Linked DNA regions of Canis lupus familiaris. The protein of the gene in region 3 interacts with the protein of the main gene of each other region in a pairwise test. Links are inferred from orthologs where the notes say so. Each region holds a gene or a part of one and is shown on either strand. Other genes may lie near its edges.

Region 1 (4,280 bases), on a different chromosome or scaffold from region 3:
AAAGTTAATAGTGATGGCAATATGCTGTGTGCAGAGCTGCCTGGAATTTGGACACTGTTTTCTCTTGCTAGGTAGAGGATGACTTTCTAATTTGGAAACAGGTCTGTCCCAAGATTTATGTGTATTCAGTAATAACCTGTGATTTCTAACCCAGGATTATTAGAGCTAGCATGGAAAAAAAATGTTCAAATCAGTAACTTCATATAAAAAAAAAAAAAAACCACCCTGAAACAAAATGTGGTTGTGATTAAAAGACTGCCAAAGTATGTGGCACCCAAAATTAAGGGTCTTTAGCTATGAGAAATGAATGTGACTCCAGTATAAGAGAAGAGCGGGACATTACAGCTGAGCAGTCCAGTCTCAAAGGAGGCTAGGCCTGCGTGCTGCTTCTATTTTCATACTCCCGTGTTTCCAGTCACCATTTCTACCGCTCATGTTTAACATTTTTAAAAATCAAACTTTTAATTTAGCCTTGGTATAGGAATAAGGGAAATCTTAGATTCCATGTGCTAAATTAGTTTTGAAATTCACACTGAAATACAGCAGTATTAAAACAAATTCTCTTCAACCACCCATTTTGCTTTTTGGTGAGTATATAGTCGGTGCCAGTCATTGTGAAAAAATCTTTATTTTAAGAAAAAAATTTAGTTAACAAAAAAATTTAACAAGTTTCACTTAGCAAAATACACCCAAAAGGAAATCACAGTACAAAGAAAGTTTTAAGTCAAGGCCTCACCAATTCCTACAGTATTAGTAATGTGTCTCAATTTTCAAAACTAACTTATTTTTTAAAAGCTTAAACTTAACCTAAAAAGATTTTAAATGAAAATAAACTAGAATGAACAAACAGGAGAAATGTTCCTCTTTGAATCAGGGATCTAGCACCTTGAGTTTTCCAAAAAAGCACGTCTCCCCAATGTGTTCACGGTGATGTGGTGTAAAAGATCCATTTAATGTACTTAAAACTACTTTAACTCAGATAACATCACTCTGAAGTACACTACCCAAAATGTTAATTGAGAAAAGCTGAAAATAGTTTTAGTTTACTCAATATCACATGCTAGAAGAAAGTTTGCATGAGAAAACACTGAAGAGGTAATTTTTTAATCCAGATTTCACAAACTCATGGTGCAAAATGGGTCCCACAGCTTCCTCTAGAGTAATAATTGCTTTTCACTGCTTGTTGGCTGCCTGTGAAAATTTGATTGCAATAACTCAAATGCTCCTACAAAACTAGTCATATCCACCCATGCTGTTCTGGCCTCCATAGCCAGCCCCGTAACAGCCACTCACAGACTGGCTCTCGAGGCCACTGTAAGTCGACTGGGCTGACACTCCCATGCCTTGCATCATCTGGCTGCTATATGCCCCATTGCTGGCCCCAGTTGTGGAATTCAGGAAAAGTTCTATGTATCTGTGTTGCATGTTGGCCCGGTCTTTGGACATAGCTGCCACAGCTTCTTCGTGAGTGGCAAACTCAACATCAGCTTCACCCGTCACTCTTCCATCAGGGCCAATCTCAATATGGACTCTCACAGGGTTGAGTGGAGAGAAGAAGTTGTAAATGTCGTTCTCGGTAGCTTTGTACGGCAGCCCTCTCATGTGGACACAGTGTCCAGTGGTGCTCTGGACGGTGAACTCGCCATCTCCATATCTGTGGTCATACATGCCCGAGAGACAGTAGCTGAGGTCTCTCCCGAACAGATCAGTGGTGAAGCCGTAGCCATCGCTGAGGCCACTGTACTCCTCATAGCCCCCATAGCCTGCACTATAAGCACCAGACCTCATCCTCTCCAGGCCTGCTTGCTTGACAATGCCAATATACCTCCTGGCTGTGCCAGGGCGGTCATAGGGCCCCGGCCGCTGTACAGACATGAACTTCAGAGGAGGATCTGAGTATGACCTAACTTCTTCCTGACTGCTCTTAAACACTTCAATATATCTGTGCCCTATTCTCTCCTTGTGCTTCCCGAGGGCCTTCTCAGCTAACTCCTGGGAGGCAAACTGCACAAAGGCTTCCCCTGTAATCTTGCCCTCGGGGTCCACAGGCAGTGTGATCCCGTTTGGCACAATTTCCAACCCTGAGAAGAACTGAACGATTTCTTCCTTGGTGCATCCAAATGGGAGTCCTCGAAGCCGCACGAAGCCATCATTGGCGGTGTCGGCACTGTTTGGACCACTGTGCTTCAACACCCAATCCATCTCGGTTCTGTGGGACTTGAACACCTCAATGTACCGGTGTCCCATGCTTTCCCTGTCTTTTTTAAGGGCCATTTTTACATCATCTTCTGATTCAAGTTCAACAAAAGCCTCACCACTCTGCCTGCCTTCTCTAGTGTAGATGAAATGAACGCCTGCAGCCCCATCATGAATTGTGCAGTCAGAAAGGAAATTCTGCACATCCTCAACAGAGCAGGACCAGGGCAGGCCACGGAGCTTGACCACAAAGCCTTCACCTCCCTCGGGGCCCAGCATCATGGACACTTGAGAGGACAGACGTCAAACAAGCTTGGGTGCAGTTTTTTGTGGCTGAAAAGAAAGCAAAAACTTTACATAATTTTTCATTTATTATGTACAAGAATATGCAGTAAATCTTATTTTTCTGATTTTACAGATGAAAAAATAAAATGTTAAGAAATACACCCAATACATTTGAACTCAGATTCAATCCCAGGTCTCCCCTAAAATGTACATATTACAGACTGAAAAAGAATTAGGAATCTAAAAAAAAAAAAAAAAAATACAATAGTGATCTAGAAGCCTCTGTCAGTAAGCCACAGCCTATCAATTCTAATGGTCAGTTATTTTAAGTTCTAAAGGGAAGACAAAAGAATGAAATAAGCCAATATTTAGAAATAGAGAACTTCTCAGAACTGGAGGAAAGTGAGATTATGACACTCAAGTAAAAGGGTATTTTCTTGTTACTAGAGAAAAGACAGAGCAAATTTGTAATAATATAAGCAGGGGAATGGCAGATGGAGCAGCAGGCTCCACGCTGACCAGGAGACTGATATTGGTTATCAATCCCAGGGCTCTGGGATCACAACCTGAGCTCAAGGCAGATGTTTAACTGACTGAGCCACCCAGGTGTCCCTTGGCTCATAATTTTAATAAATTACAGTAATTTCAGTATTTGATGAAGTCACTATGCAGCACTTAATCATTTTTTTTAAAACTGCCAACGTGCAAAAGGATGATTTTGTAATGACTTTGGCCCCATCCCCCTATAACAGATTTCATATGCTCTTCCTCCTCTTTTGTACGTGTGAAGTAAAACAGCTCAGGAAGTTTAAGTTATCTATTTCCTGGCTGTACCAGGTAGCTCAGTGTCACATAGCCAGGCCAAATGGTTCACATTGTGGACCAGACAGTTCTTTGTTGTAGGGAATAGGCCTGTGCACTATAGGCTGGAAGGCAACATCCCTTGCCTCTGCCTACAAGCTGCCAGTAGCAATACCCTCCCCCCAGGTGTGACAACCCCACAGATTTCCAGATATTTCCAAATGTTCCCTGAGGGTAAAACCTACTCCCAGCTGAGAATGACTACTGTAGAATCAGGATCACCAACCTTAAAGTGGGCCCTCAATACTGCCTACAGTTCTACCACACACACACACACACACACACACACACACACACACACACTTGCCCAAAGCCCTGAGCTGTCTGTGGCAACCTCACCTTTTCTCATTCCCCCCATCTGCAGCTGATTCAAAGAACAGCGACTACGTGAAGGAACTGCCACATGCCACAAAGTCTAGGAATTTATAAACAAGCAGTTGCTTCTCTTGTTAGCTGATATCATTAGCAGGATCACAATCCTGCTCTGGTCCCAACTCCACTCACCCTAGAAAAAACTTTTAAGGCTCCACACCTAGCGTGAAGCCTAACGTGGGGCTTGAGCTCACAACCCTGCATGATCAAGACCTGAGCTGAGATCAAGAGTTGGACACTTAAATAACCAAGCTATCCAGGTGCCAAGAGAAACTTCTCTTCAGTCTTTTCACTGAAGACCACCTTCTTAGTAATTAAGAATGTCCATTCGGAACTAATGCCATTATATACCATTTTACTTGTTCCCACAGCAGAATTTAACCACTCCCCCTGGAAATCCTTTCTCCCTCTTAAAGAAGATGCAACCTTCTGGTTTTCCTATTAATTTTGATTGGTTCTCCTAGCTGTTTCCTTTGAGTCCTTCCTCCACATTCAACTGCTGGGAATCACTGAGCTTGGGTGAATTCTTTTCTAGGCAGCCTTAAGTGATCTCCCTCCACGGTCAA
Region 2 (4,076 bases), on a different chromosome or scaffold from region 3:
TATATATATTTCTTATTCTCATTTGCAGATGGAGAAGCTGAAAAGCTGAAACACAGAGATTAGTTTCTTCAAAGTCATAGCCAGGCTTTGAACACAAGCGATCTGGCTCTTGAATGCTCTTAACCTACTATATCCTATTTCTTGTAGACATGTTTTCCCATGTTTTATATGACTGTGCCTCATTTTTTTTTTTTTAAGATTTTATTTATTCACGAGAGACACACACAGAGAGAGGCAGAGACAGGAAGAGGGAGAAGCAGGCTCCATGCATGGAGCCCGATGTGGTACTCGATTCCGGGACTCCAGGATCACGCCCTGAGCTGAAGGCAGGTGCTACGCCACTGAGCCACCCAGGGATCCCCGCCTCATTCTTTTTCAATGGTCACATAGGGGTCTAGTTCTAGATGAACTATCATTGAACTCTTCCTTGTTGGTGTCTTTGCCTCTCGTATCTATCTCCAGCCTGTCCCCAGGCACCTCCCCAGAGTCCCACAGGTGCCGCAGACTCAATTTTAAGACGATTCAAACTGAGCTCATCATCCTCCTACAGACGCATCCTCCTGTGTCGCCAGCTAAGTGGCCATGCCAACACCCACCAGTCACCCAGGACAGAGGCAGGAGCCAGACCGAGAGAATAAGTTAAGTAGGTTCCAAAGGAAGTAGAAGATGTTTGGTCAGTGGCACAGGGAAAGGGTTAGTCTCGCAAAAGAAAAAAAAAAAGTGGGGGGACAGCTTTGGACATCTGGAGGAAACAGGTGGGGAGAAGGAGGATGGAGGAGCCAAATTTAGGCTTCTTCGCTGCTCATCACCAAGGCAACTGCGTTGCTACGGCAACAGCTAAGGCAGCACCGCCTCTTTCAAGTACCTCGTGGGCTGCCGTCACCTCGAAACCACCCGGACACTTCCGCATAAGGGGGCGCGGGCCTCCGGGAACGGCTGAGGAAGGCGGGAACTACTGCCGCAGTAGCCAATCGGATGGGGCCTGCGGCGAAGGACGCAAAGGAGGTGCCCGGACTTCTGTGAAGCTCGCCGGAGGCTGTGGAGAAGGACGGGCTCCAGCCCCTTCCCTACCAGTCAGCGGCCGAGGGAGGAAGGGGGCGGGATCCGGGGGAGGCCGTACGGGGGCGGGACCCGGTAGAACGCACGGAGGGTCCGCCCAGTCTCGCCGCTACCCAATAGAAAGCCCGAAGGCCTCTCCGGACTGCTCGGGCGCCCAATGAGCATCGTCGCCGGGCCCCGGGGCGAGGCGGGCCGAGCCAATCGGCGGCGGCGGTGGGCGGGTGCGGGCGGCATAGGCGGTGCGGCGGAGGCGGAGCGGGCGCTGCGGCAGGAGGGAAGATGGCGGACGAGGAGAAGCTGCCGCCCGGCTGGGAGAAGCGCATGAGCCGCAGCTCAGGTGCCGCGGGGGTCGGGGCTGGGGCGGGGCCGCGCGGGCCCGCGGAAGCAGGGCTCGAGCTCGCCCCTGGGGCGCGGCGCCGCCGCCCGATTCCCGTGGGGTCTTGGCTCCTCCGCGTCTTCCCAGGGTAACGGCCCGGGCCCGCCCCGTGGGGGCTGCGAACCTCAGGAGCGGGGATGCCGGAGGAAACTGAGGCAAGGGGCGGGGCCGGAGAGACCCAGCGCGCTGCCGGGGGTGGGGGGGGCGGGGGCGGGGGGCCGGGGATCCCGCAGCACTCCCCCAGGTGATGGCCCTGGCCCTGCCGATCCGGCTGACACCTTTTGGCCTATTGCACCCGACGTCCCCGGGGACCGTGTCTGCACCCTGCTGGGCCCGGGGGGCACCCCGGGGAAGGACACCCCAACCCCACGCTCAGGGCGTGGCCTCAGAGCGTTGCCGGGCCTCGGGCCCACAACCTGCCCCTGCTAACCCGCCGGCCATCCCCGCCTAACCCGAGTCTGTCGTCGCCGCCCGGTGGATGGACCCTGTGCCGGGAGCCCGATCTGAGGCTTATCCACAGTAATAATACCCGTAACCGCACGCTCATCTTACCGCCCAGCCCTGTGCCAAGTGTGTTTGGAGTGTGTTCTCCCTCTCTCTCTCTGAATGACCACAACTCTGGGAGGTGGATAGTTATCACCCCGTTTTGCAGGTGAGGAAGCAGAAGTCAGAAAACTTAAGGAGCTCCCCCAAGGTCATTCATTTCAGGGGGTGGGGGCTGGATTAGAGTCCGGTCAGTCTGACAGCAGAGCCCGCCTGCCCTTGTCACTGCAGACCAGTGAGGAGCAGGCCCAGCATCTCACCGCACTGCCTCCCCAGCCCATAAAAATCACAGTCACAGTGATATCTGCTCATTGAAGGCCAGGCCCTCTGGTGAGCACTTTGCACGGATCATCACTGTTCTCCACATTAGCCCCGTGAAGTTATGTCCTTAATCTCTCGCTTCACCCCCACTTTTCAGATGAGAAAACCAAGGTTCATGGAGAGAGAGGCCATTGCAAGGTTTTAGGGTCGGTCACTGGCTCAGCTCTCACTGAGCCCGCTCCAGCCCTGCTCCGTGGCCACAGCTGACAGCATGAATCCTGATGCTCTGCCCTGTTCTGGGCCCCCTCTCTGGCCATTTCTGCTCGGCTCCACCCTAATGGTCTTCCTCAGGGGTGACCTTCAGTTCTTCACGGTGCTGGGTGCCAGTCGTGCAAAAATCTCAGCCCCTGGAATGATGCCTGGGCTCTCCTGGGTTCTACCTCAATCTTCTCTCTTGTGGCCTTCCCTCCTTCCTGCTCCTTGGGCCCTGGGTAACGTTTGACCCCCCTGTACTGCTGGTCCATAGTTGTGCAGCGCTGTACACTGGGTGCGGGTTAAGAACAGAGCTTTCATGTTTGGCAACCTGGGTTTAATTCCTGCCTCCAGCCATGTGTGCCTGGGGCCAAGTGTACACTCAGGAAACATTCCAAAGGTGTGGAAGGTGAGGCCTCACTTCTGTCGTCTACAGGGAGATGATAGCTGTCACGCTCCTAATGTGTACTGGGCACTAGTCTAAGTGTGTTACCGCTGTGAGCTCACTCAGTCCTTAGCACAACCCTACAGGCAGGGACTGTTGTTATCTGCATTTTACAGGTGACAAAATCAAGGCCCAGAGAGGTTAGCTCACACAGTGAGTGACAGCCAGACTTGAACAGGCAGCCTGGCTGCCTGTCCCCACACCGGCTTCGTCTCTCCTGTCACTCTGGGTGGTTTTCCTCCTTGAAGTCACTAATAACTGAAGTTATGACATTGTCTTATTTGCTTGTCTGGGGCCTGCCCATCCCCATCTAGAATGCTGGCTCCCTCGGGGCCTGTAGCTCGAGGTGGACTCAGGGGATTTGTTGAATGAAGGAATCCCATTGGCCGGTCCGTCATCTTGGCCTCCGGGTGGTGTCCTTTGAGCAGGTCCCAGCTGAATTCCTGTATCCCCCCTCCTCCAGGCCGGGTATACTACTTCAATCACATTACTAATGCCAGCCAGTGGGAGCGGCCGAGTGGCAACAGCAGCAGTGGCAGCAAAAATGGACAAGGGGAGCCCACCAGGGTCCGCTGCTCGCACCTGCTTGTCAAGCACAGCCAGTCCCGGCGGCCCTCATCCTGGCGACAGGAGAAGATCACCAGGACCAAGGAGGAGGCCCTGGAGCTGATTAATGGTGAGCAGAGTTGGAAGCAGGTTGGAGTGGGGGGAATGTGGGGAGAGGTTGTCCCCTCATTGGGAGCTGGAGCCAGCCTCGTAGAAATCACACCAGGCCCTGCACCCCAGCTAACTCAGCTGTCAGCATTGGCTGCCACCGAACTGCCTGTACGTGACGTGAGCCTGGACTGCACAGCTGCCTCTCCTTTTTCTTTCTATTTGGCATTTGAGGGTGAGCCAGGTTACGAGAGGAGGACCCAGCCTTGGGGGCTGGCAGCCCTGGGTTCAGATGGTGGCTATGCCCTGTAAGCTCCAGGGGGAGCTTGTGTCATCTTGAGACTCAGTTTTCCCCTCTGTAAAATGGGTGTTGTCACATACCTGCCCATACCTGGTGTGTAGGTGCCAAGAAAACTATGAAATCAGCAGCATTTAGCTCACTAGGGCCATAAGTTGCAGAACCCTGGTATGGAGCTGCCTGGTATG
Region 3 (3,637 bases):
TGCGCACTCCCTTCTAGGCCCCTCTGCCAGGACCATCTTAGCTGGTAGCTCACAACTCCCCACACGTGTGAACTGATCAGGCCTTAAAAGAGGGCTTAGGAAAAGGCACCTGGGTGGCTCAGTGGTTGAGCGTCTTCCTTCGGCTCAGGGCGTGATCCCGGGGTCCTGGAATCGAATCCCACATCGGGCTTCCCCACAGGGAGCCTGCTTCTCCCTCTGCCTGTGTCTCTGCCTCTCTCTGTGTGTCTTTTATGAATAAATAAAATCTTTTTTTTTTTTAAGTGCTTAGGGCCTTTCAGGGTTCACTGGGGTCCCTGGAGACTGAATCCCTGACCCAGATTCAAAGGACTGGATCTGATGTGGGTGTTTCAAACTTTGAGTGGGGCCAGGAGTCTGGGCTGAGGGAGTCCACTGCAGGGCTGTCAGGCCCTAGAGCTCACAGGGACTCCAACAGGTGTAGGGGCTGAGAGTAGGTCTCTGAGAGGTGGGTGGTCGTGGCTAATTTACACCTGTTCAGCGCTGAATGGTCAGGTGTGAATGAGATAGCTGCCCAAGCCCACTTGCTCATGACAGCCAATAAGTAACAGAAGCAATTTCTCTTCCCACTGTGCTCTCCAGTCTGCCATCAGAACCAGAAGGGGGGACAGCTGTGCTGGGGCCAAGGGGTAGGTGGAGCGTTAGAGACTCTATACCAGTAATTCTGGGGGCTGGGGTGGGAGTGGGGTGGATCCTCCGTGGAGACTCCTGCAGGCCAGGGTTCTGCTGGGTCTTAAGCAAATGGCCTTTTCACTGTGGGGTGTGGCCTGGGAACAGCAAGGTCGAGCTGTGGCCACTCTTCCTTGTTTCGTGTGTGTGTGTGTGTGTGTGTGTGTGTGTGTGTGTGTGTGTGTGAGAGAGAGAGAGAGAGAGAGAGAGAGAGAGAGAGGGTTGCTGTCAGGTCTCAGGAAAGGACATAATGTAAAAGGGAGGGAGACTGGAACAGAGGGAACCTGCAGGGCTGACCTACACTAGCATACAAGGTGGCTATAGGGTGGTAAGCCCTAGATCAAGAGAGAAAACAGGAAGAGAATATGGGCCAAAGTGGAGGCTTCCCCCCCCACATGAGATTCAGGCAGACAGAAGCCTTTGGGAGCTCCCCCTTCTCCATCCTCCCTTCTCCATCTCCCTTCACAGTGTGTGTGAAGCAGAACAAGAGATGGCAACGTTAGGGCAGGACTGTGTCCGGAAATGCTGGGAAAGGTTAGGCTTCATTTTCATCTCTATCCCTATCCCTGTCATCCCAGGGCTTGTTCTTCACAAAATATTTTGGTTATTCCTTTTATAAAGATCTTATTTACTTATTCATGAGAGACACAGAGACACAGGAGAGGGAGAAGCAGGCTCCATGCAGGGAGCCCGATGCGGGACTCGATCCTGGGACTCGATCCTGGGACTCGATCCTGGGACTCCAGGGTCACACCCTGGGCCGAAGGCAGGTGCTCAACCGCTGAGCCACCCGGGCGTCCCTATTTTGGCTATTCTTGTAAAGCCCTATTGCTTTTTCCCTTCTTGGTTTCTTTCCCAGATACCCCTCTCTGCCTCACAAAGTCAGGCCAATCAGGGGTGGCGAAGGGGAGGGCTTGGAGGCTGCTCAAAGCTTGCCCCTTCCCCCCTCCCCTTCTCCCCCCCCCCCCGGGACCCCAGTCTTGGAACCTCCAGAGCTGTGTGGTTGCTGCCGATGTAGCGGGGGAAGAAGCTGCCCTTCCGAACGACGGTCGCATACAGGTGGGTCTTGGCAGTGGCTTCCTCAGCTTTTCCGGACTGGGCGGCCTGGGGACAGGGTGAGGGAAGAAGACACACAAGAAGGAGAGTGACTAAGGGGCAGGCCCTGCCATAAATCCAGCCCTCTGCAGACAATCACTTGGCATTGCTCCACCGGGGCTCCAAGCTGATAATTAAAGCTCATGGTCCCCGCGAGCCCTTCCAAGATCAATATAATAAATCTTTCCTTTTCTATTTGAATATTTCATCACCCTCACAAGGACCACTGCCTGACTGCTCTCTTCGTGAAGGTGTGATAACAAAGCCTGTGTTTTGAAGTGGCCAGAGAGCCTGGGTGATGATCGCAGAATCACAGCTAAAGTGCTGAGTCTTCCAGGTGAGTCACTCACTGATCTCTCTGGGCCTTCCTGTCCCTGCCTGTCCCAGGTACCTCATCCAGGCTTAGGGAAGGGGCTTATGGAAGGTAAAGACCCCGAGGCCATGGTTGAGGAGGTGCTTGGAAAGAAGACTGGTGCAGGGCCTGATGGGAAGTGGGGAGGGAAGAAAGGAACAGAACTAACCCAAAGTGAGCACCCACTATGTGTCAGGTACTTTGCTAGGGGCTTGACGCCCATTGTTGCATTTGACTGACCAAATGCATGCTCAATGTCTCTCTAGTTTGCCAACGAGAAGCACAGACCTAGGGGGTTAAGCAGCTTCCTACGGATATATACTTAGCAAGAGGCAGACCCCCGATAGGAGCCCAGGCAATCCTACACCACATTGTTCTTTACTCCAAACCACAGTAGGGGTCTGGAGTGCACGTTGAAGGGAAAGTAGTGCTTCTGTTCATCTCTGGTCCAGTGCCTAGCACACAGTAGGTACTTACTAAGTACTTGAGCACTGAAAGAGTGAGTTCTCCCTTCCACCAATCAGCACTGGGGAGAGGGAGTCGGTGGGGGAGCTGCCCTGGGGAGCTCAGGCCGCGGACTAAGGCACCTGCAGCTCCTCACTCAGGCTCATGCCCAGCTGCCTACTAGAGGGGTGCACTCCAGGGAACACTTTCCCTCCCACATGTCCCAAATTTCCAGGGCCTTCCTCCTGCCAAGGCAGTGTGTGGAGACAGCACAGAAAGAACTGACCTGGGAGACTGTGACCCGGGCTCACCCTCCACTCTGCTACTCATTTGCTCTGTCACCCATGTTGAGAGGATTCCTCTCTCTGGGTCTCCAGCCCTATGTATGCAAAATGTACTTCACCTTGAGGATTAGAGATGGTGTCTAGCTCAGGACCTGGGACATACTAGGTACTCTGTAAATACTGTATTTCTTTGATTTTTAGATATATTCCCACTTTTAACATATGAAATCAGAAAATATCTTTTTTTAAAAAAAGATTTTATTTATTTATTAGAGAGAGAGAGAGAGTACATGAGTGAGAGCAGGGATGGAGGGAGAAGCAGATGCCCTGCTGAGAAGGGAGCCCAACATGGGGCTCGATCCTAGGACCCTGGGATCATGACCTGAGCCTAAGGCAGATACTTAACCAAATGAGCCACCTAGGCGCCCCTAGAAAAATATGTTTAACTGGTGTATTCATTTAATGTAGAAGATATTCCATGCTATTGGGCTATTTTACAGAGATGAATTTGGAGAATTCCCAATTCTCATGGAAATCATTCACATCAAAAAAATAAAATAAAAAAAAGGAGGGATCCCTGGGTGGCGCAGTGGTTTAGTGCCTGCCTTTGGCCCAGGGCCTGATCCTGGAGACCCGGGATCAAATCCCACGTCGGGCTCCCGGTGCATGGAGCCTGCTTCTCCCTCTGCCTATGTCTCTGCCTCTCTCTCTCTCACTGTGTGCCTATCATAAATAAATAAAAAAATTAAAAAAATTA
Region 4 (4,298 bases), on a different chromosome or scaffold from region 3:
ATGACACCACCAGGGTCCAGAGAAAGCACCAGCTAGCTGGAGGCTTCTGCACCCCCTGCTTGCCACTGCCTTCAGTCCTGACACTTAGCTGTACTCATTCTGTTCAAAGGGAGGAATGATACCACTTCCTGAGCAATTGAGTACAGTGTCAGTGACGGTTCCCAGGAAGGAAGTCGAGGGGGATGGGGACATACACGGTTCCTGGGGCCCCATGCAATCGAAACCAAAGACCTGCCCCTCTGCTGCACAGCAGGTACAGAGCGGTACTCCTCCCCATCCATGTGCCCCCCCACATGCTCCTCACCCAGACATCAGTCCGCTCATCAATGACACAGTGGCTCTGCACGGAGAAGAGCTCTGGGGCGCGGTAGGAGATGGTGCATCGCTGGGCTGCCCAGTCCTGGAAGAGTGGCCCCATAGCTCAAAAGAGAGGCACAGGTCATAGTCATGTGACCAAACTGGGGCATGCAACAGGAAAGGCTGAGGATGGGGAACAGGAGGGCAAAGGAACCTGGACACTCTTTTACCTGCAGGGCCAGAGCCTGGCGGGAGCCTTCCACATGGATGCAAGCTTGATTCATGGAACCCAAGTCCATTAAAACTGGCTGCCCCTCATCTCCAAGCAAGATATTGGTGGGCTTCAGGTCCCTGCAGGAAAGTGGAAATAAATGGCCCATGAACATCCCTGGATAGGGAGACTAGAATCCCTGGGGGCAAAAGAATCATGGGGACTGTTCCTTGGGAGGAGAGCAGAGACCACTCAATCCTTTTGGTGAGGCTCTTTCTTTCTGCCCCATAAGCACACTGGGCCCTCCCACTGACCTGTGGGCATAACCTCTGGCATGAATGGCCTCAAGGCCTCTGCAGATACCCAGCAGCAGCTGAAGGATTTGATCTTCAGTCAAGAAGTTGCCTTTGTCCTTCAGCCTTTCTATCTCGTTCCACAGCGTACCCCTCTGCAACACAAGTTTCCCCACGGTTGGACAGGTTTTCTGGGTCTCTGCTCCCTCAGCCTGATCCCTTCCCTGTGTCACAGCCTAGCAGCTCTTTCACCACACACACTACACACCTCACAGTCCCACTTGGGTTCCCCTAAACCCCAAATCTGAAGCGGTCCAACACAGGACATGGTCTCTGCTTCCTAACGTGCTTGGCTACTCACACAGCCCTCGGTAGATGACTCTGTTGCAAGCCCCTCCATTGCCAGGAGACTTTCTGACCTTGAAGAAGGGTAGCAGCAGCCAGGCCTCATGTTTAGTGCCCCGCTCCCTCAGACAATAAGCCACAAGGCGGAGGATGTTGGGGTGATGGAAGAGGCGATGCATGTCTGCTTCTCGTTGGGCTTCCTCCCGATCCTGCTGCTCGTGACACAGGATCCGCTTCAGGGCGTAGAAGTGTCCATCATGTAACCCCTCCACTAGGTCCACATAGCTGAACCCACTGTGGGCCAAAGGGGTCAGTGAAGGACCACGGTCATCTCCCACACTGCTTGGACCCAGAGGAACTCCCTGGGTGGGGAGGGGAGGGGGTGTCTTTCCCAGTCAGCAGAAACCCTCCCAAGACGTGGCTTCAGGAGAAGTCTGAAGATTTTACACTTTGAGCTCAAGGGTAGGAACACAGCAATCTTTGAGGTACCTTGGTCATAATGCACAGCTCTGCACGTGACAAATGCTCCGGAAATGTTACATGAGTAAGTAACAGTCAACATCTGTCAAGTGCTGTGAACCGGGCCCTGGGTGAGATTATTATTATTATTTTTTCTCTTTTTGGTGAGATGATTTCTATGCACTATCTCATTTAATCCTCACAACTCCATCAGCGACAAAAGATAATTATCTCCAGGGCAGCCCGGGTGGCCCAGCGGTTTAGCGCAGCCTTCAGCCCAGGGCCTGACCCTGGAGACCCAGGATCGAGTCCCGCATCGGGCTCCCTGCATGGGGCCTGCTTCTCCCTCTGCCTGTGCATGTGCGTGTGTGTGTGTCTCTAATAAATAAAATCTTAAAAAAAAAAAAAAAAAGATGATTATCTCCATTAAGCAGATGATGAAACCACGGCTTAAGGTCACACCAGGTGGAGCCAGGAGGCCTGGCTCCAGAATCCACTTTCTTGGCATTCGGGTTGCTAGGCTCTGTCAGGGGAGCTAAAGGATGCTTTACAAGGATGAACCTCCTGAGGCCCTATCACGTGCAGACTGCTGTCCTTCACTCACCAGAACCCTGGGGGCTGGCTAGGCGATTTCAACACTCACCCCTCCCCCAGTTTCTGGATGAAGAGGTAGCGCTTGTTGTCAATGAGGACGGTTCCCCGGGAGCAGACACACAGCGCGTGGCCCATAGCGCCTCAGTCATCCTCCTCAGGGGCGGTCCGGGGCTGCCGACGGCCGCGTGCGGGCTGAGGGGGCTCTTCCAGGCGACGCGCTGGGGGCCCCGCGGATCATGCTGGAAGGCAAAGGACGGCAGGGTCGTGGGCCAGGCACGACCCCCGAAGTGCCGACGTGCAGAGCTGGCGCCCGGGCCTCGGAACGCAGAGGAAACGAGCCTTGGCGACGCCGGCTCGGGCACGGCCGAGGTCGGGTGCCCTGGAGCCTCGGGCCACGCCGCGACGCCCAGGCCGCGTCCTCGCCGTCGGGCCGCCTCGGCAGCCGCGGAGCGTGGGGGCGAGGCCCGGGCCCACCCGGCGGGGCCCGCCCCGGCCTCGGCGCGCAGAGCCCCGGGAGGGCCGGCCCCGACTCCCCACTGACCTGGCTCCGGCCGGAGACGAGCGCCGCGGACCGGAAGGAGCGTCTACGTCATCAGGCCGCGCCGGCGTAACGGCCCGCGGTATCCTAGCAACCGCAGGGCATCCGGAGGATGTGGGGGCGCGGAGCTGAGAGGCCGGGGGCGGGCTAAGGCGCGGGGGAGCACGGGTCCCGGGACCCGGTGAGGGTTCCACACCAGGCCTTCAGTAGTGGGCAGGACGCAGGCACCCGCGCCCAAGGGGAGCAAAGCCGGGCTCGGCCCGAGGCCCCCCAGGCCCCCCGTCTCCCAATGCCGGAGGTAGGAAGCTGCAGTCCAGCCCCGAGGGGCGGGGGCCGGGCGGGGGCCGGCGGCCTGGACCCCCACAGCGCCGATCGGTGCACCCTTCGGGGCTCAGGCCTGCATCCCACTACCCTAGTTTCAGTGGTTAAGAGCTTACTAGCTGCGTGACCTTGGACGACTTAACCTCTCAGAGCCTCGGTTTCCCCAGTTGTAAACAAGCTCTAACAGTACCTAAGGTTAGGTGCCCGTACGGGGAGGCCAGGCTGCAGCTCCCAGCTCTGCTAAACTAGCTGCGTGACCTTGAGCAGACTATTTAAAATTTCTGCCTCTCAATTCCCTCATGGGTAAAATGGGAGTGATAATTACCAACTGCACGGAGCTTTTTGAAGATGAAGTGAGATGTAAAGTGCTTAGCACACTATCTGACACAGCCTTGGTGTCAATAAATAGAAGTTGCTGTTATTTTTATTATGATTCTATTTTTCTTATCCTGGTCCTTACATCCCAGGCTTGGGATTGTGAAGGCAGGAGTCATGGAAATTCATAAATTCCCAAGCCTTGGCCCCAGGTAGTTGTTCTTGACAGCTCTCGCTGAGGCAGGGCAGGGATAAATTGAAGAGCGGTGGACATCCAAAGAAGACAGAATGGCTGAGGTGGTCTCTTTTGCTGTAGCAGGGCCACTAGGAGAAAAAAAAAAAAATCCCATTTATAACTTGGTTCCTACTTTCACACCACTGGGAAGATTGATTCCGAACCTGTTTTAGCCCCCTGGTTCCGACATTCATTCATCTAGATTTAACCTGCTATGTACCGAGTCCCGTGCTAGAAGCTGAGGATGCAAGATGGACAAGGTACTCTTCACCCTCAGGGAGCTCAGTTTAGTACCACAGTGCTTCTCAATCTTGAATGCCTTTCGGATCGCCTGGGAATCTTGTTAAAATCCAAATTCTGATTCTAATAGGTCTGAGGTAGGACCTGAGACTCTGCATTTCTAACAAGCTCCCAGGTGATGCTGATGAAGCGGATTCAAGATGTAGAGGATCTTACAAACTAGTAGAGTAGCGCGGGTGGACAAGTCCAGGCTAATTGCCTGGTGACTTGAGGTGGTCTCCGCCCCCTTGCTCGCTGAGGTTCCCTCCCAGGAATCCACCACGTGACAGCCGGACCGCCCTCTCTGAATAGAGGAGCCCTGTTAGCGCCATGGCTCCCAGGAAGCGGCTCTGCCTTCCCGTCCTGCTGTTGCCACTTCTGTCCCTGCTGCTGCCCCAGGTAAAATGACAG
Region 5 (3,637 bases), on a different chromosome or scaffold from region 3:
TAAATGCAGAGCATGAGCTTAGGTCTTGGAGAACACAAACCTTGCTTGTTTGGGACAGGTGTTGACAGTGCAGGGGAGGTGTATGTGTGGGAACTGTCGCTCAAACTGGAGAGGAGAGGGTGCCTCAGTTCCCAGGCCAGCACTAGTGGAACATAGGTTTTGGAGTCAAGAAGACTCCAAGGCCCACATTTTGCATTTGCTCTTTACTGGCTCTGTGGCCTTGTCTGGTTCATGCAGTGTGTCTGTGCTTTGGCTTCCTGACCTGTAAAATGGGGATGCTGACATCCACCTCCCAGGGCTGCTGTGAGAGACAAGTCCCAGCACAGATTGCGCTGTGGTGGTCAAGCTGTTCCCTTCCCTCCCTTCCTCACCTGCGCAAAAAATATGCGCATGGCTGGAGCTGCACAAAGGGCACGAAAGAAGCTAATGTTTATGACCCTGGGATCTGTTGAGAGAGATCATACAGATTCATGTGGCAGGTGCACACTTTTTCTACCTCTTACAACGTATTCTCTCTGGCCATTCCTTCTCCTGGGTCCCAAAGTCGGAGAGCTTAGCGGGAGCCTAGCACTTGTTGCAGTTAGAGACCCCACACGGACACCTCCTTATTAATGACCTAAGTGTTGCTAAGCGGGGGGTGGAGATTCTTGCCGAACGAAAGGACAGGACTGGAGGGGCCGCTAGAGGGGAGGGATAGAACTGAGACGCATTGCGGAAAAGGTAGGGGGCCAGTGTGTGGGCAAGGGGTGGGACCTAAAGGCACAGCGCATCTGTTTGGGGGAGGGGATGTTGTGGAGGGGGGTGGGGCCGTGGTGTACTGTCGACCTGGTTGGTAGTGGGGTGGTGTGTTGGCAAAGGGGCGGGATTGCCTCCCACTGCACATGCGCACCATGGCGTTAAGGACGAAGCTTTTGTTGGGAAAGCGGGCGGGACTTTTATTTGGTCGGTCAGTTCTTGCGCATGCGCACAACTATCTGAGGCGGTGGGTGGTATATTAGGCGGAGAGGCGGGGTCGTCCTAGCTGCCGCGCTGGCATTTTCTCCTGGACAAGGAGAGGGTGCGGCTGCGGAGAGCCGAACACTGCAATCCCGATCCTCTGAGTCGTGAAGAAGGGAGGCAACGAGGGGGTTGGGGTTGGGGCCTGAGGCAAGGTGAGAATTAGCCCCCAGACAGGGCATCTGCCCCCTGGTGCGGGCCACCCATTTTTCATTTCAATCCCTTTACCCCGGATTCTGATTCCCCTTCCACTCCCCTAATCCCCATTCACACCCTTCACCCGATCCTCCCTTACTCAGAACCCCTGTTCATCCTCCGAACCCCTCCCATCGTTAAAAATCTCCACAGATTTCTCGAGCTTAATCTGTACTGTCATACGATTCCTCCTGATTGGAAACCTCCATTCAATTTACCATATGCGCGTCCCAACCCATTCCCCCTAGATTCAGAACTGTTGTTGGCTTTCCGAATCCCGATTTGAAGCTTCTCCCGGGTCAGTAGCTTCTCAGGATTCAGAGCCTCCATCCTGACATCCATTCACTTTTCCCACTCTGATCCAACCGGTTCCCCTCACATTCAGCGCCTCGTTCGCCCCCACAGTCAAATCCCAGACACCCCCCCCCCCCATTCAGTCCTTCGCATTTGCCCTTTGGAGTATAACGCCCAGCTCCTCCTACCCCCACCCAGGCTCTGCTCTTGCCAGAGGGACTGGAGCCATGGCTCAGAAAATGGACTGTGGTGCGGGCCTCCTCGGCTTCCAGGTGAGATATTCACTCCCCACCCCACTATTTACCTAGCCGATAGTTCCCTGGGGCCCCTTTGGCCGCCCAAAACCCTCGATCTGATTTTGCCCTCTTCATGCCTAGACTCCATCGCTTTTCAAATTCCCATGGTTTATCGGGGGGGAGGGGCGTCCCCTTTCAGCCATCAATCCCTGCTTAGAGAAAGGGGAGACCCTGTTAATAGTGAGGGCAGTCTATCCAGAGAATGCGGGTTGGGTAAGGAACCATTTTTTTCCTCAGTCCTGACGCTTGTAGAGAGAGCAGTCTGCCACCCCCTCCCCCAACCTCCGGCCGCCACCCTCTCTTCTGCATTCCCCACCGCTGAGACCCCCCCCCCCTTATTCTCCTCAACTCCTCGAGGCGGCACCCTTGCTCTGGCTCCCCTCGCGTCCGCCCTTAGCTTCTGCCGCACACCGCATTGCTCTGCTCTAACCTCCTCCATCAACCCCCACCGCTCCCTTCATTCTACTTCTTCCCCACTATTCATTCCGCCCCACCCCTCACTTAGTCCCTGCCCCACTCCAGCCCTACCACACGTTTTGTTACCACTCTGCCTCCCATCGCCCCTTGCTGGTGGTCTAGATCTGTGCCTCAGCCTTTTTGCACCATCCGCCTGCCTGTACCTTCCCAGCACTGCTCCCCCTACCCTCCTGCTTCTACTTCGGAGGCCCAGAAATTTCATTCCCACCCCCCATCCCCCCCCCCCCCCCCGCTGTATTTGCAGGCTGAGGCCTCCGTAGAAGACAGCACCTTGCTTATGCAGACCCTGATGGAGGCCATCCAGATCTCAGAGGCTCCACCTACCAACCAGGCCACAGCAGCTGGGCTGAATGCTAGTGCCCAGAGTTCACAGCCCCCAACATCCAGTGAGATGGCTGATATTCAGGTTTTGGCAGCTGCCACTAGGCCCAAAACAGCCTTTAAGGCTCAGAATGCCACCACAAAAGGCCCAAATGGTGCCTATGATTTCTCTCAGGCTCTTAATGCCAAGGAGATGCCCAATGTACCACCTAAGGCAGCCTTTAAGTCCCAGAATGCCACCCTAAAGGGCCCAAATGCTGCCTATGATTTTTCCCAGGCAGCAACCACCAGTGAATTAACTGCTAACAAGTCCGAGATGGCCTTTAAGGCCCAGAATGCCACTACTAAGGTGGGCCCAAATGCCACCTACAATTTCTCTCAGTCTCTCAGTGCCACTGAGATGGTTAATGCTCAACCTAAGACAGCCTTTAAGGCTTGGAATGACACCACTAAGGCCCCAACAGTTGATACCCAGACCCAGAATATTAACCAAGCCAAGATGGCCACTTCCCAGACTGAGGTAGAGACCAACCCAGGTATCCCTGAATCTGATGGTGCAGCTGCACAGACATCAGCAGATGGTTCCCCTGCTCAGAATCTGGAGTCCAGGACTATAATTCGGGGCAAGAGGACCCGCAAGGTGAGATCCCTGCTAGCTTCATTTTGCTTTGGGCTCTCTCCTTTCTTCTCTGAGTTTCATTTGTTCTCCACAAAACAAAGCATACATATGTAATGGCCTGTGTTGAGTTAGGTTGTAGGGGATAATAAGGTGAATGTCATAATTTCTGCCCTCTGAATATCCAGACTAATGGGGAGATGAGACATGGACAGGTAATATGTACACTATGTAATTCAGTTTACATTTTCATAATAGCCACCATGTGTTAGGTCTTGAGCTAGGCATATTCACACAGGTTACCTCATTAAATCTTCAAGGTATTACTAGCTAAGGATAATAGTCCCAGTTTTACAGAGAAGGAAACTCAGTCCCAGAGAGGTGAGTGACTTGAGTGATTTGTCCAGGGTGGTACAAGCAGAGCCAGTGTTGGACATAGGAA
Region 6 (4,095 bases), on a different chromosome or scaffold from region 3:
GTTGGTCACTGCTTCACTAGCCTGATTAACACCCATTTCTCGGGAAATCCCTGTTCCAAACACCGAAAAACCTCCATCAACAGCCCCACCTCCCCAGCCAGTCAAGCCCATCTCTTCTCTGCGCGTCCGCTGGCGACCATTATTTTCATAAAACGCGGCACATGCCTGAATCCTGTTCACTCACCCACCCACCCAGGAACGCCTGGTAGGTGCGTTAAGAGAGTGTTCAGAAGCAAAGTTTAGATCTGTTTTGATTAAGTTATAGTAGCCCTGGTTAATTTCATTTTCAGTCGTTCTAAGACTTGCAGAGCAGGGCTGCTAACGATATACCAGCAGTGGTATGAAACACACCCGAATTACTCTCATTCCTACCCAAATCCCTTCCCAGAAGCCAGGGCCTGAACCAGGGAGGGCCTCTCCTACCTGCAGGTCTGGGGCTAGGCCGTGCCCGCTGGCCTCCGTGGTTCAGTTTCTGTTTGGTTCAACGGAAGGAGGGGGCCCAGCGCTGGGGCCTGCTCATCCCCTTATACAGACACAAAGTTGGCAGATTCAGCCTTAAACCTGTTGGCAAAATAAACGAAAACAAATAAAGGGGAAACTGCCAACCGCAATTGTCTGAAGTGACAGAGGCCTACTGTCCCCGTCCCTGCCCCGTCCCTGAAGCCCTTACAAAGCTCGTGAAGAGTCAGGTGCCCGGTGTTCACCAGCCGCCGCGCCCCGCATCCCCCGCAGACCTTCCAAGGCGATCGTTACTGTCCACGCACGAAGGCGTTTCTGCAAAGTAGACGCCTCCACGCAACGCCACACTCGGTGCGCTCACGGGGGAGGTGCCTTCAGTGCCTTAAAACCCAACCACACGCCGGTTTCTTCCAGAACCACTTGGTGGTTAGATCGCCCCGAACACACCGGGAGGCCAAGCGTCGTGAGAAACTTTCTTCCAGGTGCGGGAGGTCCTGCCCATGCGGGACGCGGCGCGGAGCCTGGCACCGTCCCCGGGCCCCGCGGCCCCGCGCCCAGGCGAGGGCCTCCCCCACGCGGCGTGACAGCAGCTTTGTGCGGGGTCAGGAGAGTTGCCATAAGCACAGCAAGTTCTCCGGGCCTCCCGCGGCCTCCCGCGGCCCCGCGAGCCGCGGCGCTTCCTCCCGGGGCCGCTCGTCCCCGCGCCCCCGCGCCCCCGGCCCCCGCCCCCGCGCGCCCCGGGTCCCCGGTCCCGGCAGCGCCGCCCTGCCCCCGCGCCCCCGCGCCCCCGCCCGGCCCGGCCCGGCCCGGCCCGCACAGGGGGGCCCGGAAGGCGGGCGCGGAGGTGCGCAGCCGGGAGCGGGGGGCAGGCCGCGGCGGGGCCCAGGGCGGTGCGGGGCGCCCAGGGCACGGCCCCCGCCCCCGCCCCGCCCCCGCCCCCGGGCGCGCGCCGCCCCCCGCGCGGCCCAACTTGGCGGCCCCCGCCCCGCGCCCGCCCGCCCGCCGGCACCGCCTTACCTCCTGCGCCGCCCGCCGAGCGGAGGGCAGCGGCGCGGGTCCCGGGGCGGCGGCCGCACCGCGCCCGCCCAGGCGCCGCTCTTTGTCTGCGCCGCTCCCTCCTCCCGCCGCGCGGCGGACGCTGCCGGCCCGGGCGGACCCCGCCGCCGCCGCCGCCGCCGCGAGCCTCCCGCCGCTCCCGCCTCCCGCCGCCCGCCGCCCGCTCGGCCGCGCGGCTCCGGCCTGACGATCCCGGCGGCGGCGGCGGCGACCCTCCCCCGGCGCTGCGCCCGCCCCTCCGCGCGCTTCCTCCTCCTCCTCCTCGCGCCGCTCCTCCCCGGCCGCGCGCGACCCCGCCCAGGGCCGGCCCGGGCGAGGGGGGCGGGGGGCGGGGGCCCGGCTCCCACCTGGGGCGGCGCGGGCGGGCGGCGGGCGGCGCGGGGACCCGGGGCTCGGCCGGGGCGCGCGGGGGGCGCGGGGGGCGCGGGGCGCGGGGAGGGCGGGGGTCCCGGCTGCCCGCTGCCCGCTGCCCGCTGCCGGCTGCCCGCGCGGGGACTGGGGCAGCGCTGGCGGCGAGCGGACGGCAGGGGAGAGAAAGGCAGCAACTTCCAGCCCCCAGTGACTGCCGCGCGGCCTTTCCATCCTCTTTTTGTTTGATTTTCTTATCGCGACGCTCTAGTTGTTTGGCGGCCGGCCCCCTCCCGGAAGCATTCCCACGGCACCCTCGGCAAGGCAGGCCTGGGGTCCATCAGAAAAGTGACTTACATAAAAATGTCACTTCCTCTCTGTAATTGCCTCTGGGCATTTTTATTTATTTGCCTTGTATCTATTTACTTTCCCAAACAGACACTTTTGTACTCCATCATTCCCGTCGGAAGCACTTCTTGAGAGCAGAGAGGACACGCGGCCCCGCGCCGCCCCGCCTGCGGCCCAGCCCCCCGCGCCCACCCGGCAGAACCTGGCAGGCGCTGCCAGCGGCTGGGCCCCTCCCCGCACCCCCCCCCCCCCCAGGCCTTGTCACTACTAGTGGGACTGGTCCGGTCACCTGGCCACACGCAGGGACTTACCTGTAAACAAATTCGGAAGATTAAAACCCTGGAGGAAGGGGAAACACAAGTTGTCCTCTAACAGGCACATGCATCCAGCTGCCTGTGCTCCAGTCTCCTTCCCACACGGCTTCCCAAAAGGAAACCCGACTATTCAAGTGATTCTGATTTCCTGGCGGAATAGCCTGGATCCATGTTAATGAGATTCTTTCTTAGGCTCCTGGCTTCTCATTACTATTAAGGCAATAATAACTTACCCAAGGTGACAAGGCTGAACCATTGATCCTCTGCCTTGTTCACAAAAGGAAGTATCCAGGTTGGGTAACCAGAACCAGTATACCTTTGAAGTCACAGTACAGCCTTTGACTATCTGCTTTTTCAACTGCGGAACCTTGCACAGGTGTTTCTTAACCGATCTAAAATTTAACAAATGGAGAGATCGTGTTTACCTAGCTCCCATGTCAGTCCCTGGCACCCTTCCTGCCTGTAGGGCACACTCTGTAGGTCACTAGCTGGGAGTAGGTACAGTGTACTGAGCAGGGACGGATCCAAGATCAGGGAATCTGGATAGCCTCCTTCTCTTTGCCCTTGGGGAAAGAGCTGCCTCAGTTCATCCTTTTGTCTTACTAATAAGGAAGGCAGAATTATAATAAATGGTCTGACCCAATTTTAAATTAGTTTACCCAAAATCCATATAATAACATTGACCCAGTTTTTAACTTGTCTGCTTTGTAAACCATCACTGAATCACCGTTCTTGAATTCCTCTTCCTTCTTCCTTCCTTTACAAAGGTAGAGTCCCCAAGGACATTCTCTATCTAAAATCCAATGTCGCTTTCTTAATCTTTATCCTATGCAGTCTTCAGAAGCACGTGGCATTTCTGCTATTACCTGAAATTCAGTTATTTTCATTTATCTAACACAGCTACCCTTCTGAACTTCCTACATCATTCTCTTGGAGAGCATATTGACCTCTAACAGTAATATTCCTGATGCAGAATTTGGCCCCTTGTTTTTATAATGATTTGTGCCTTTTTTGTTTTTTTTTAAGAGAGTTGATCATTTTTTTGTATGCCTCCAGTCTGGATGTTCAGTGATTAACTCTCAGATCTGTAGCCTTAGAGAATTCCCCAGATTGTCTGCAGTCTCTCTGGGCAGCTCATCATCTCTTCAATATCACCAGGTTCAGAATGAAATTTATCCTCTTCCCAAAGTAGCTCCTCCTCCCACGGTCTCAGGCTTGGCCAAGAATCCACCAGACATCTCAGCTCCTTGGAGAAACTTCACTGCAATCTCATTTCTTCCTTCCTTCCCTCTCTCCAAGATCTCCCCAAAGGCAGTGAGGAGAGAGTGCAAGATGACCTTGGGATCCCTCTCAGTCTAAATCCTCATGATTCTGAGTCCTGGTGCTGTTGAAACAGCTCTTTGTATCTTCTTTTCTCTTTCCAGTGACACCATCCAAATTTTTACATTGTTACTGATGACACTTATGAAACTTCTTTTATATGTGTGTGTGTGTGTATCTGTGTGTGTATAAAATAATTATATATAATATATATAATAGTATCATGTGTGAGTTACAGGTATACATATAC
Region 7 (3,637 bases), on a different chromosome or scaffold from region 3:
CCTCCCAGCCCTATCCTGATCCTGATCCCTTCAGAAGGGCAGGGCCTGTGTAGCTTCAGGGGCAGCCACCCAGGGTACAGCCCCTCAGGTGGACATGATGCCGCTTTTCTCGCCCTTGACCTTGAGGAACTCGGCCATGCTGGAGAAATACTTCTGGTTGGCTTCAGCCACCTTCTTCTCAGCTGCTTGTGGGTTCACAATCTCTAGGCCCTGGGCAGGTGAATGAGGTAATGATGGGGTGGGGAGATGGGCTGGCCCCTGACAAGGCCCCCTTACCCAGTAAGAGAATTGTGACATGTCGGGGAGGCCCTTTTCAATGGTTCCGGGCTCCAGGTGATAGAACAGTTTTCCAATTACCAAATTGCCCCCACCCCAAACCTGGGGAGATTCTAACTGTGGCTCTGGGAAGAGGGAAGAGTGGGGAGGACCTGGGCATCTGAATTTTTATCAAGTTCTCTAAGCAATTTTAAAAGCATCAATGTTGGGCAGCCCAGGTGGCTCAGCAGTTTAGCGCCGCCTTCAGCCCAGGGCCTGATGATCCTGGAGACCCGGGATGGGGTCCCACATCAGGCCTCCTGCATGGAGCCTGCTTCTCCCTCTGCCTGTGTCTCTGTCTCTCTCTCTCTGTATGTCTCTCATGAATAAATAAATAAATAAAAATCTTAAAAAAAAAAAATCAATGTTTCAGAACAGCTGACCGGGTTTGGTTCCTGAATAAGGAAACTGAGTCACAGAGCTAAGTGGCTCACCTCTGGCCCTCGTGCAAATTACACCAAGCCTACTGGTGACACGGCGTCCAGCTGTGGGGGCTCCACACTGGCTGGCACCATTCCCAGTATCTTCCACAGGTAATTCTGACCTTCTTGCTGAGGCCTCCCTGGGCGGGTCCAACCCGATGCCTCACTCCCTCTCCCCTTTCTTCCCTGCACTTTCCACTTTCCACCAGGCTCCATATCTTATCTGACCCCTGCCACCCCACAAGCTCCCTGAGGGCAAGGCTTGCTGTCTTGTGCTTGTGGCTCTATCCCCAGTGCCTGCAACAGCACCTGAAACTTAGGTGCTCAGTACACCCTTGCTGATGTTGCCAATGAACTCAGTTATTCTACTCGATGCTATGGGGCGTGCTGGCGCTATCTGTGGGTAGGCTGAGAAATGGACAGATGCAGAGGCTCTGTCCTGTGCATGAGTGGCTGGGCTGGGACCTCTGCTTCCCAGCCAGCTACCTTTGAGTTTTCTTCCGTGGAGCCCTGAGGTTGTCCCAGCCACTTAGCACCTCAGGGAGGAGCTGAGCCCACTTGAGGTCATGGGGAATCAGTAGTCACCCCTAGTCCCAGCCCGATCCTAAAGCCAGCCTGCACTTGCAGGCAGACCTTTTCCCTTCTGCTCCCACTAGCCTGAGCACCAGGAACTGAGCTGTACCTTTCAGGGGCTTCACTGATACACAAGGCTGTCCACAACAGCCCTGCGAGAGGAAGGGGCTTGCCCAGGTCCACTCAGAAAGCTGGGAGTAGAGCCTGCCCAGAACTGGGCCTCCTGACTCAGGTGCACAGTACCTGCAAAGGGGTGAAAGCCACACTGGAAGCAGTCCCCGAGGAGCGGTCACGGATGGTGGACTTCCCGCCATACACGACACTCTGCTTCTGCAGGGTCCGCTGTGTGGAGGGGAGGGGACAGGATGTTTGGGCTTGGCTTGGGCTCTCCTGCTGGAGCTCCCAGACTCCCAGGCCCACTCAGGCCCCGCCTGTACCTGCAGTGTCTTAGAGATCCTGGCTTTGGTGGCCTCGTTCACCTGTGTCTGCCGTACCCGCCCGCTGCCTGATTTGCCCAGATGGCCCAGGCTGAAGCCCAGGTCCTCTTGGTAGGCGTCTTCCTCGATCTGGTGGGAGGGGAAGGTAACCAAGAGTTAGCCATCTTTCATCAGCCGGATGCCCCAGGCACTGACCCGATTCAGGTGCCTGCTGGGGCCCAGTGAGGAGTCCAGTCCTATTACGGCTCCCTGAGCTGACAGTTGAGGGAAGCTGTGAGTGTTCATGTATGCAGTGTCAACAACCAAAACTGGGCTTGCTGACTAGAGGGTGTTTGAGCTGGTTCTTGCAGGACCATGAGGATGATGCTTGGGTAATGAGTCTGGCAGAGGTGAAGCCTGAGGAAGGACCCTCCCTGGGCAGATCCAACCCGACAGGGAGGTGTGTACAAAAGGGTGGGGGTCGGGGGACAGGGCCAACACTGAATGCTGCATAGGTCCCTTCAGGGTACATGGATGTGGGGGGAGGCTGGAGGTGAGGTGCTGCCTCAGCCGAGAAGAAATGTGGTGGGGACATCCAGACTAAGGCTTTGACCTCTCCGAAGCTCATGCGGTTGGCCTGCTTCCGGATCTCGGTCAGCCCTAGCCGCTCCTTCATCTTGCGGTACCTGGGGAGGGGCGCCAGGGGTCAGCTGGGGTCACAAGCCCCTTCCCCTCCTCTTCACCCCCACTGGCCCTCAGGGCCTACCTGCGGCCACCTCGCTTCTTGCGCTGCCCGTCCAGGGGTGCAGGCAGGGGCTTCACCTGCTTCACGGGCGGCGGCTCCTGCCATTTGTCAAACTTGCGCTCGATTTCATCCTTCAGCTCATATCCCACCTGGGGAGGGCAGGGGGTCCCATTGAGCCTTGCCCATCCCTCTACCTGTGTGTGGCACCTGTTCCCAGGCCTGGGGGGCCTGTGTTTCTTGGGAGACTCAGACTTCTCCCAGCACCCCTCATATAATTCTGTCCTTGATGGGGGAGAAGGAGGGCAGCCCCCGAGTGCAACAGGGCCAAACCGCACACCTGCACCTCTTCCCCAGCCTCCAGCTCCGGCCTGCACAAGTTGGTAAAGGGAGGTCACTTGGGAGCCTCACCTCTGGCTTCTCTCCCTCTGGGCTTTTCCTTCAGTTAAGACCCCAAATCGCACCCCTCAGCATCTCTGCTACAGCCAAGGTCTCTCTGGGGCACACAGGCTCTGCGTGACCTGTCCCATCCCACAGCCTCCTCTCCCTGGCTTCCTGTGGGCCAGGCTCAGGGCCATTGCACTGGCTGCTTCTCCTTCCTAGGACTCTTCCCCCAGGCACTCACTTGACTTGCTTCACTTCACCAACTTGCTTCACTTGCACCAACTTCACTTGGGTGCAGATTAGACCTTCACCTTTGCAGCAAAGCCCTCCCCAACGTCCGGGTTAAACTCAACCTCCCTCACCAGCCCAGCACCCTTTGATCCCACCCTAGCATTTATGTGGCATCCCTGGACACACCACAGATGGCCCGTGTCCTCACCCCGCCCCCAGCCAGAACATGAATGCCACAGGGGCATGGCTTTGGTCGGAGTGCTCACTGCTGTCCCCACTGGAACCTCAACCAGTGGTCAAGAGGAAAAGTGGGGGGCAGTGAGAGAAAGAGACTGAAGCCTGGACACTGTGCCAGACTGCACAAGACAAGATATACCCACTTTCATGGAGCAAGTCTGCCAAGAGAGATAGAGGTAAACTCAGTGATGACCTGAACAATGACAAGTCTGGTAGAGGAGACAGACCCACACAGATGCCTGCTGTGCCTCACCTTCCCTTCTGTGCTCTCGTGGAAGCTGTCCACACGGGCTGCCAGTGTGCACTTGGCAGCCACC

What was found.
Region 1: the proteins of CCDC33 (region 3) and HNRNPF interact in a two-hybrid assay, tested with the Homo sapiens proteins (3 studies listed by BioGRID). The two-hybrid records come from large-scale screens. The link is inferred for Canis lupus familiaris from reciprocal best matches to the Homo sapiens genes CCDC33 and HNRNPF.
Region 2: the proteins of CCDC33 (region 3) and PIN1 interact in a two-hybrid assay, tested with the Homo sapiens proteins (2 studies listed by BioGRID). The two-hybrid records come from large-scale screens. The link is inferred for Canis lupus familiaris from reciprocal best matches to the Homo sapiens genes CCDC33 and PIN1.
Region 4: the proteins of CCDC33 (region 3) and STK16 interact in a two-hybrid assay, tested with the Homo sapiens proteins (2 studies listed by BioGRID and IntAct). The two-hybrid records come from large-scale screens. The link is inferred for Canis lupus familiaris from reciprocal best matches to the Homo sapiens genes CCDC33 and STK16.
Region 5: the proteins of CCDC33 (region 3) and MAGED1 interact in a two-hybrid assay, tested with the Homo sapiens proteins (2 studies listed by BioGRID and IntAct). The two-hybrid records come from large-scale screens. The link is inferred for Canis lupus familiaris from reciprocal best matches to the Homo sapiens genes CCDC33 and MAGED1.
Region 6: the proteins of CCDC33 (region 3) and NCK2 interact in a two-hybrid assay, tested with the Homo sapiens proteins (2 studies listed by BioGRID). The two-hybrid records come from large-scale screens. The link is inferred for Canis lupus familiaris from reciprocal best matches to the Homo sapiens genes CCDC33 and NCK2.
Region 7: the proteins of CCDC33 (region 3) and PRPF31 interact in binary tests that used the Homo sapiens proteins (3 or more experiments, as listed by UniProt). The two-hybrid records come from large-scale screens. The link is inferred for Canis lupus familiaris from reciprocal best matches to the Homo sapiens genes CCDC33 and PRPF31.

The regions. Positions count from the first base shown.
Region 1 is NC_049249.1:3,821,657-3,825,936, reverse strand, and holds the end of HNRNPF (heterogeneous nuclear ribonucleoprotein F), read right to left. Parts: intron 2,530-4,280; 5' UTR 2,479-2,529; coding exon 1,234-2,478; 3' UTR 610-1,233; downstream 1-609.
Region 2 is NC_049241.1:51,560,286-51,564,361, reverse strand, and holds the start of PIN1 (peptidyl-prolyl cis-trans isomerase NIMA-interacting 1), read left to right. Parts: upstream 1-1,190; 5' UTR 1,191-1,338; coding exon 1,339-1,396; intron 1,397-3,399; coding exon 3,400-3,612; intron 3,613-4,076. UniProt on the Homo sapiens protein: Peptidyl-prolyl cis/trans isomerase (PPIase) that binds to and isomerizes specific phosphorylated Ser/Thr-Pro (pSer/Thr-Pro) motifs.
Region 3 is NC_049251.1:37,848,550-37,852,186, reverse strand, and holds part of CCDC33 (coiled-coil domain-containing protein 33), read right to left. Parts: intron 1,810-3,637; coding exon 1,693-1,809; intron 1-1,692.
Region 4 is NC_049258.1:25,668,144-25,672,441, reverse strand, and holds the start of STK16 (serine/threonine-protein kinase 16), read right to left. Parts: upstream 2,836-4,298; 5' UTR 2,741-2,835; intron 2,439-2,740; 5' UTR 2,335-2,438; coding exon 2,249-2,334; intron 1,660-2,248; exon of another isoform or gene 1,645-1,659; coding exon of another isoform or gene 1,636-1,644; intron 1,441-1,635; coding exon 1,221-1,440; intron 957-1,220; coding exon 823-956; intron 649-822; coding exon 528-648; intron 401-527; coding exon 305-400; intron 1-304. Other genes in the region: GLB1L (beta-galactosidase-1-like protein), read left to right, coding at 4,218-4,286. UniProt on the Homo sapiens protein: Membrane-associated protein kinase that phosphorylates on serine and threonine residues. In vitro substrates include DRG1, ENO1 and EIF4EBP1. Also autophosphorylates. May be involved in secretory vesicle trafficking or intracellular signaling.
Region 5 is NC_049260.1:44,806,328-44,809,964, forward strand, and holds part of MAGED1 (melanoma-associated antigen D1), read left to right. Parts: intron 1-867; exon of another isoform or gene 868-1,151; intron 1,152-1,683; coding exon 1,684-1,757; intron 1,758-2,502; coding exon 2,503-3,219; intron 3,220-3,637. UniProt on the Homo sapiens protein: Involved in the apoptotic response after nerve growth factor (NGF) binding in neuronal cells. Inhibits cell cycle progression, and facilitates NGFR-mediated apoptosis. May act as a regulator of the function of DLX family members.
Region 6 is NC_049231.1:38,784,161-38,788,255, forward strand, and holds the start of NCK2 (cytoplasmic protein NCK2), read right to left. Parts: upstream 2,869-4,095; 5' UTR 2,759-2,868; intron 2,638-2,758; exon of another isoform or gene 2,523-2,637; intron 1,544-2,522; exon of another isoform or gene 1,477-1,543; intron 1,055-1,476; exon of another isoform or gene 671-1,054; intron 562-670; 5' UTR 424-561; intron 1-423. UniProt on the Homo sapiens protein: Adapter protein which associates with tyrosine-phosphorylated growth factor receptors or their cellular substrates. Maintains low levels of EIF2S1 phosphorylation by promoting its dephosphorylation by PP1.
Region 7 is NC_049222.1:103,832,135-103,835,771, forward strand, and holds part of PRPF31 (U4/U6 small nuclear ribonucleoprotein Prp31), read right to left. Parts: coding exon 3,574-3,637; intron 2,621-3,573; coding exon 2,493-2,620; intron 2,413-2,492; coding exon 2,340-2,412; intron 1,877-2,339; coding exon 1,748-1,876; intron 1,653-1,747; coding exon 1,554-1,652; intron 211-1,553; coding exon 85-210; 3' UTR 1-84. UniProt on the Homo sapiens protein: Involved in pre-mRNA splicing as component of the spliceosome. Required for the assembly of the U4/U5/U6 tri-snRNP complex, one of the building blocks of the spliceosome.